Nothobranchius furzeri: one gene and its partner. The protein of the gene in region 1 interacts with the protein of each later gene in a biochemical or structural test. Links are inferred from orthologs where the notes say so. Each region holds a gene or a part of one and is shown on either strand. Other genes may lie near its edges.

Region 1 (4,601 bases):
GTGCACGCTGTCAATAGCAAGATATGTATTTGATCATTTTTATCGGTGTTGGAGAAATCTGAAGGTGGTGAGTCATTCTGGCAGATTGTAATTAACACCTGTCTCATGCAGGTGTTCTGACATTGCAAACCTCACACACAGAACATTGTGTATGTAACAAAATAAATAAGAAATGACTCCCATCTGAGCATTTTAGCATTATTATATTATTATATTAGCACACTGACGGTGGGACAGCATTCTAAACGTGTCAGGCTATTAACAGCGCGCTGAAGATCTGAAGTTCAGAGTGCTTCTGTCGGAGGTCAGACGCGGAACCACGGCTCACAGGTGCATGTGAGCACATCTGGGCTGGGCAGAAGTAATTTTACAACATTGGTTTAAATAGTGCCAATAACGAGACACAGTGACTTGAGCGGCTCATGGAGCTGTGCCGCACACACACACACACACACATACTGATTCAACAAGCGCATGCTGCGCTGTGCCGTCAGACTGAAGGAAGAAATTAGGGCTCTGGTTAAACGTTCCTGCTTTAAGAAAACCGTTAAATTGCATTGTTTATGTGCTACCTGGGCACTCTAAATATTGATTTAAAATTAAATCAAAGGAAATTGTAATGGTATTGAATGTTTATTAATTACGATTTCAAAAATAATACATAAACATAAAAATGAAAGTGATGGGGAAAAGGGTCGATCATATTTTTTTTAACCCTGTCTGTTGAGTGACTGTTTAGCGTGACGTCTGATATATATATATATGTATATATATACACACACATACATACATACATACAATGCTCGATACCAAGAGTTTTCCTATCAGTTTGTGAGAAAAAGAGGCCAGAACACAGAGGGTTAAGCAGCATCCATGAAGCATGCTCATAGTATTAACCAATGGCAACGCGAGGCGGCGTGGCCATGGCAACAGCATCCGGTGTTGTTTTCCTTTTTTTCTCTCTACTCTTGGATACGCATCCTGGAGCTGCCCTTGTGATTGGCTGAGCTCTCTTTGGATGTCACTGGGGCAACCGAATGATGGGAAGTTTAACACATGAACGGAAATGTCGGCGCTGAATCTCACTGGCTGCCTGTGATCGGCTCCCATTCGGCCTCCTGTGAGAAGCACAACTGCCGAGGCGACCATTGGGTTGTTCTTACGTCTGTCTCATGAAGGAGGTTCGTTTTTTTTTTTTTTTTTTTTTTGTATTGGGTACGGAAGCCGAGCGGGGACCGGCTGGTTTCGCAGTGGCCGCGGATCTCCTCCACCCGAGAGTATGGCGGCTGGAATCGCTCGGGATAGCGTGGGAGACGCGGAGGCATGCCCGAGAAGGCAAAAAAGAAACAAGAGGTTCCTGTGAGGAAGAGTCGGGGCAGTTTGAGTTTGTGTTTAGTTCTGGACTGGTGACAGTCTAGAGATTGAGCCTTTAGTTGAATCTCAGCTAAAGTGTGTGTGATTTTTTTTCTTTTTTTCCCCCCTCCAGCATCCTCGATGGAGCAAGTTTGTTTTTATGAAGCACACAGAGGGTGAGCTAAGCAGATGAAAACGGTATTCGTCCTCCTTCCTCTGCACGTTTTGGACAGCTGCAGTCCTCGTTTGCGCGTGTCGCTGTCAGTCTCTGGCCTGCAAATGGGGGATTTCTACCCAGAAATCCACGTCGGGGCACCGAGTCTTTGTGCTCTGCCATAACAGCTGAGCCACCGCGCGCGAGGCACGGGGACAAAAATGGGACGCGGATGGTGAACGCGATCGCTCATTTCAATGTCGCGCCGAGACTGATTGCCTACTGATTGATTGAATCCACAATGCGCGAGTATAAAGTTGTGGTCCTGGGCAGCGGTGGGGTCGGGAAATCAGCCCTCACTGTGCAGTTCGTCACCGGGACGTTCATCGAGAAGTACGACCCCACCATAGAGGATTTTTACCGCAAAGAGATCGAGGTGGACTCCTCGCCCTCGGTGCTGGAGATCCTGGACACCGCCGGTACCGAGCAGTTCGCCTCCATGCGGGACCTGTACATCAAAAACGGACAAGGATTCATCCTGGTCTATAGCCTGGTGAACCAGCAAAGCTTCCAGGACATCAAACCGATGAGGGATCAGATCATAAGAGTAAAAAGGTGGGTGCAAAACTAACAAATGCATGTCGGAGATGACATTTCATTCTTATTATTAATGACCTTTTGGGGGGTTATTTAGTTTCAGGGCCTGGTGAACTAAACCTCGCCTACAGCTGCTGTGCCTTCATCCTCTGTATCAAACAAGTGATTTTTCTAGACTTTATGCCATGTTTACCTTCAACAGGACTGATCCGAGGCCAGTCGCAGCATGGTAAATACACCAAGCCAGATGCTGCAACCGCTGCAAAAATACTCAGGAATACCCAGGATTCAATGCTACTGAAGCTCTGCAGAGAGCTTCAAGGAAAGAGCAGCTTTTGCTAAACTGTTGGGTTTGTTTGTGAGGGGGGGGGGGGGGGTAGTACCCGCCAGCCTGGTTCTGCTGAGGAAAGACCATACAGTTTTTAATCCCCACAGAAGGAGAAGGCAAAGATTGCCTGATGTGCCTGCACTGATGGTCCAGAAGTGATGTCATCACGGAGAGCTGCTGATTGATTCAGGGTTGTGTTTTGGTTTGCTGCTTTGTTCATGCTTGCCGGCTGACTTTGCATGATGTCATAAACCCTGCTGAGAGCTTAAATGTGCAGTGTCATGGATGCTCAAATGACCATTCCTGTATGAGCTCTGATGGTGGACGCATTAAAATCGGCTTATGCCTTGTAATATTTAGTGATACGGCTAATTAATTTAGATGATCCTCAGCATTTGGACAGAGCAGCTGAATCCAGCCTTAGTGCGCTGATTTGGTCTCAATTCTGACCACCCTGGAAAAACCTGATCTATTTTTTTTGTCTCCACAAAAAAAAAAAAAAACATTAACTAGAAGATGCCTATCTCTCATTTCAGCTTTTATCACCTCACTGGATTTTACAAATCCCACCAGCACCTATCTCCCCTTACCAATAATATTAATGTGTGGCTCTGTTTGAAAGAATGAGGCCAACATGTTTCCCCCACATGAGTTAAAAATACAGCAAAAACAGGGTATGTTCAATCTGTGAGTGTGTGTTTTAAATGTAGATGTGTGCATGATCACACAACAGATAGAGCCAGGCTGTTGTGTGTGATTTCACACCAAATATGTTGGAGAATCTGGTGGTGTTTTCTAATATCACACTAGAATTTATTTATTTATTTATTTATTAGTGGAACAAAAACATGAACATTTTACACACTACTCCAACACAGCTGTTCATTTTAAAACTCCATGTTTTGTGCAGATTTGAACACTTAAAATCTAAATTTAAGTGAATTTTTTTTGTTTGTTTGTTTTACCTTTGATCTCATGATGAAATGACCTCCTAACAAATGCGACACATATCCATTGGTAGTGTTGCGATTTACCTGTTTGTATGTGTTGTAAATATTCAACCTCTACCACACCAAATGTTAGCTATGTTTAGCTTACATGTACAGAACAGGCAAAAACATTATAAACACACTATAAAAGAATAAAGCAGCATGCGTGTAAAAATCAAACATAGTTTAAAAGTAGGGGTGGGAATTTAACGATTAATGAAAAATATTTATGCGTTAAAAAATTAATGCTTGAGCCCGAGCATTCCCCAATTGTGGGCCAAAGATTAGCATAGCCATTTATCCTCTATATATCAAAAAATAACATCAAGCACCATCTCTAAAGAAGCTGCAGAGCCTGGGCTACAAGACCATACAACCCTGTTTTACGTGCTCCAAACACAATTGATGCGATTATGGCAAATCACTCTTCAGAAAGAAAAGAAAAAAAGAAAAAATAATTGACTTTTAATTTTCTGTTTTCTAGTCGGTAGAAAGCATGCAGGTTGTAACTTTATTACAGCAGGAGGGACAAGTGGACATGCAGCATTCATCTTGTAACTCTCAGCAGAACTTCCCCTGAACTCTACACTAAACCTCTATTTAAATAAGCTGTGCTCTGCTGCCACCCAGTGTTCATTTCAGTACACAACATTTACAATGTTCCTTGTCCATTTTACACTTCATCAAAAACACATATACTGATATTTACACATTCCAACAAATCCTACAATGGTTACCTTTACAATGAGACCAAAGTAATCAAATAGACCAGAAATGTACTCATTTAAGTGCGGGTATGTCACCTGTGCTTCACTTACATTATTTTAATTTTACAAAATGCGTGGGGAAAATTGTCTTGAATGCTTAAAATGTGATTAATCAAGATTAATTAATTACAAATCTTCTGGTTAATTTGATTATTTTGTAATCAGGTCCCACCCCTATTTAAAAGATAACATGTTTACATCTACACAAACCCCTGTGCAAAGGTGCTGCAAACACTGGATATACTCCAATGATTGTTGCTATTAAAGGTGGAATCGACATTCTTGGAAAAAGTCACTCAAGCTACATTTTGAAAAACAATTCAAAGGCCCAACCTCTTTTCTGAGACTCCCCACTAGGGTCACAGAATGGGGCATTGAATGCAGAGCTGCCTAGTGTATTGGATGGAATGCCC
Region 2 (4,393 bases), on another chromosome or scaffold:
GGTGCAGTTCCAGAAGAGAGGACGTCCAGGCAGCTTCAGCTGGATTAAAAGTCTTCAGATTTCTGCAGGAAAACAACATCTGATTCCCTACAAACAAACCTGCTGCCATGCCCCCCCCCCCCCCCCCTACAGACAGACAGGAGGCTTAAGGAAACAGTATGAAGTGTTTTTCCAGGCGTCAGGTCTTCCACAGCGAGTGATCCAACCCGATCCGTCCCGCTTCGCCAAACTGTGTTTTAGTCATTAGGAGCTCATGAAGAACAGCCCTCAGCTCATCCTGCTTTTACATCACAGCAGCAGTTTGGGTTTGCTTTCTTGTGTTCATAATAATAATAATAATAATAATAATAATAATAATAATAAATGCAGATTTGGGTCAAACACATCACAGGACATGCGGGTCACCGGAGTCCTGCGCAGTGTTCTGTTCCGGTTCTGGAATGAATCGTTGTTTTAGATTGTGCTGGAGGAGATTCTGGGAAGCCCGGAACCGTAGGCTGTTATTAAGCTGCCGTGGGAGCAGCTCTGCTGAGTCAGCGTCAGCGTGGAGGATGCAGATAAAGATGAGGAGGGACAACATCAACACTCGTCTCTGGTTTCACCGTCGCTTTGCTTCCAAAAACCCGACAACTTTCAAATAAGAACCACGTCGGCACCGAGCATCCAATCAGAGGCGGGGTGTCCAAATATCAGGATATAAGACTCCAAATCCATCGTCTGCTGCTCAAGTCTGATCTGGCTCGCTTCTATTTCCTGAAACAAGAGCACCAGAGCTCACAAGGTGTGATTTATACTAGAGACCACTGCAGATGTGTTGAAAAAACAAGTGAACTTGGTCTTTGAAGGGTTGGTTACCCCTGGATGGAGTCTTACTTCACCCAAACTTCAGATGTGCCTAAAAGTGGCTTCGCCCGGTGGACCGAAGGAGGCAGTGACTGACGGCACCCCCACATGCGCTATCAGAGTTTGTCAGTCAAACAAGCCTTTAACAAGTGCGTACGTGCACACACACATCTCAGTAGGATGAACGAACAAAGGAACTGCAGCAGGCCGGAGGATTTTCCCTCCACCTCCTACACTAGAAGAAAGGAAGGAAGACGTCTTTTTAGGAGGCGAGCGGCTCTGAGCCGTATTGTTTAATATCAGCTCGAGTGGTCAAGCCTGCTAGAGGCGTGGCCGAGACTAGACTAATTATTATTATACAATCAGGCGATGGTGGCACAGGAGTTAAGCGCTCGCCCCGTAATCGGAAGGTTGCAGGTTTGAGCCCCGCTCAGTCTGTTGCTGTCGTTGTGTCCTTGGGCAAGACACTTAACCCACGTTGCCTGCTGGTGGTGGTCGGAGGGACCGGTGGTGCCAGTGCTCAGCAGCCTCGCCTCTGTCAGTGCGCCCCAGGGCAGCTGTGGCTACATCGTAGCTCATCACCATCAGTGTGTGAATGTGTGTGTGAATGGGTGAATGACTGATTGTGTTGTAAAGCGCCAATGACTGACTCAAAATCAATGTAGTTTTAGCCTGAAGAGGAGCAACGATGACAGTTTAGACAGAATTTTACATTTTTAAATAATAATTATACAGATGATCAGAAAAATAAAGTTGATTTAGGGGTTACTCAAATATACTTAAAGTATACAATGCTTTTTTAAATTATGAACATACAATCTGCAAACAGCTATGAGTTTGTAGAGTTGTAGGTGAGATCAGACCAGGTCTGACAGATGAAGCTAAGTTGAATTAATGCACTAAAACAAATGGAAAATGAGTTATGGTGGATTACGTCACACTGACCAGATTAGCCTATCCTCCCTCTTTCTCTGATGGGTTAAGAAATGTGCTGCGTAATCTGAGATTTACTTTTACTGGAAGTAGTAAACCATCAAAGCACGGAAGGATTACAACTGCTTTCCCCAATCAGAAATATGAGGTTGAGCTTAATATCTACATGCAGAGCGAAGAACGTACAAAACAACGTACAAAACAACGTGGCCTTTAGAGATCAAATCATCATCAGAAGAATTAAAGAAAAACTGGCAGATTGGTTTATTTCACTCTGTTGCTGGATCGATTTTATATGGTTTTATATGGTAAATGTCCTGCATTCATATAGAGCCACATAGGTCACACACACACACACACACACACACACACACACACACACACACACACACACACACAAAGCTGACATAAAAAGTGCAACCCAGCAGAGATGCTGTGACTTACATCACCATGATGGGGTCAGACTCATAAACAGGTGCGCGTGCGTGCGTGTGTGTGTGTGTGTGTGTGTGTGGGGGGGGGGGGGGTCACACACACAGTCACGCAACAACAGTAAACTGATTAAACACCATGAGGTTAACGAGGATGAGCAGAGATAAAGTTCTGGATCAGAACAAACCATTCTGTCAGCGCAGGGTACACACCATCGACATTAATATTAGGCGCACACACACACACACACACACACGAACAAACACACACACACACACACACACACACACACAAACAAAAGGAAAGAAAACATAAATGTAGTTATTGCTTGCTTTGCGGTACAAAGGCTTTGTGATTAATAGTTTACTATTGTATCCGGATGAATCAGACAGGAACCCCGGACCCATCTTACTCCCAGCCACAACAAACAGCATCAGCTAACGGGTCCCCATCACCTCCACCCTCCTCATCCTCACCTCGAGAAGCGGCATGTCCGGGTCCAGGTGGGTGAAGCTGTGCAGGACCACTGGACTGGGGTCCTCGACCACCTCCAGCTTCACCCCGTCCCAAATGTCCCGCACCTTCCATGACGAGTCAAACATTTCGAGCAGCTGTCCCGGTTTGAGGCCGCGCGCCTCGGCGTGCATACCCGGGAAAAAGACCATGGATGCCGGGCGTTTGGTCACAGCGGCATTTTAGAGAGATTTTCTTGGCGTTTTTAAACCTAAAGTGCCGCTGCTGCCAAAGCAGCGGCCCGGTTCGGGTCGGTTCGACCGTAAAATCAGCTCTGTTAGATCACCGCTGCGGCGTGAGGCGTTCAGAATCCTCCTGACTCACACTGAGGGGGTTCTAAGCCACGCCCCCAACTTATTGATGCTTTCAATTGCATCGGAAAACCTTTATTTCTCCAGCTGAGCCGATTAGTGACTGTCGAAAACCCGATTGATTTTAATTTAGGCCGAAACTTTCCGTTTTTGTTGTTCTTTTAATATATCTGTATTTGACTTAGTGTAGCAATCCTATTTATTTAAAGTATTTATCTGTGTCATTAGAAACAACTCAAAAGATAACGTTAACAGCTCCTGTAATACTTTGAAAGGGAGGAACCCCAGACGTTCCTGAAGGCAGCGTTAACTCCTCCGCTCTGACGTCACGCATTGGGGAACGAAGGCCTTGTGTTGTTTCTGCTCGCTATGGCAGCAGGACAGTGTGGGGAAAGACAACAATCAGCTACAGTGGGGGCTCTGCTTTTCTCCTGAAATCACGAACTTATACACAAACAAGCGCAGCTCAACAGTAAACATTAAAAACGTCTCAACAGAGAATCTGAGCCATGGCTCTTCATCTCTCTGTTTACTCCAAGGGGAGCAGTGTTTTACTTTTTCCACACCCCCACAAAATTATCTCCGTTTTAGTATAAATAAACCAAACCACGTGTTAAACTAAACGGAATAATTCCAAAAGTAACTCATATGAAACCAAATAATCTATCATTAGCTGCTACAGGCCGCTTCTGAGACACAGCAGATGCAAAGGAGATTATTGGTTTTGGATCACAGAGATTTAGAGGATTTAACGCCCAGCCGCGCTCCCTGCTGGCCAGTGTCAGGAACTGCTCTTTTTCCAGAATAAGACAGAACTACTGCTGCGCTGTACCCATCACGACCAAATCAGCTGAGCTGTTTGATCTGAACAAAACAGCGGATTACTGATGGTGGTCATTTAGAAAGAAATGTGCTTTAGGATGATCACGTCATCATCTAAACTGATATTTTGTGCTGAGAGAGAGAGAGAGAGAGAGAGAGAGAGAGAGAGAGAGAGAGAGAGACTTTCTCATCACTGAGCTGCACCACATCAAAAGAAGCTGTTCAGATTCAGTTATCGTTCTGATGATCTTACTTTTAGCTACCATTAGATTACATTTAGTGCATTTGAAAAAAATAAAACTTCCTGTTTGATCTGCTAAAGACGCGCTGGAATCCTTGAGAAATTCCTAAACAGCACTCCTGCAAATTCCTGAGCACTGTAACAACTTTGGTATGAAAGAGATTTTTTTTTTACTTCCAAACCCGGCAGCTATGAGCAGAAGTGTGATGCTAATATCCGTCCCGGATCCCTAAACATTCAGAGCACGCTGAGGAGCGGCCATGTTGTTGATTCTTCCATCCGATAGAAATCAATCCCA

Evidence for each region.
Region 2: the proteins of ras-related protein Rap-2a (region 1) and ralgds form a complex in vitro, tested with the Homo sapiens proteins (2 studies listed by BioGRID). The link is inferred for Nothobranchius furzeri from reciprocal best matches to the Homo sapiens genes RAP2A and RALGDS.

The regions. Positions count from the first base shown.
Region 1 is NC_091754.1:22,191,969-22,196,569, reverse strand, and holds the start of ras-related protein Rap-2a, read left to right. Parts: upstream 1-1,663; 5' UTR 1,664-1,808; coding exon 1,809-2,122; intron 2,123-4,601. UniProt on the Homo sapiens protein: Small GTP-binding protein which cycles between a GDP-bound inactive and a GTP-bound active form. In its active form interacts with and regulates several effectors including MAP4K4, MINK1 and TNIK.
Region 2 is NC_091750.1:38,665,427-38,669,819, forward strand, and holds the start of ralgds (ral guanine nucleotide dissociation stimulator), read right to left. Parts: upstream 3,023-4,393; 5' UTR 2,874-3,022; coding exon 2,685-2,873; intron 1-2,684. UniProt on the Homo sapiens protein: Functions as a guanine nucleotide exchange factor (GEF) activating either RalA or RalB GTPases and plays an important role in intracellular transport. Interacts and acts as an effector molecule for R-Ras, H-Ras, K-Ras, and Rap.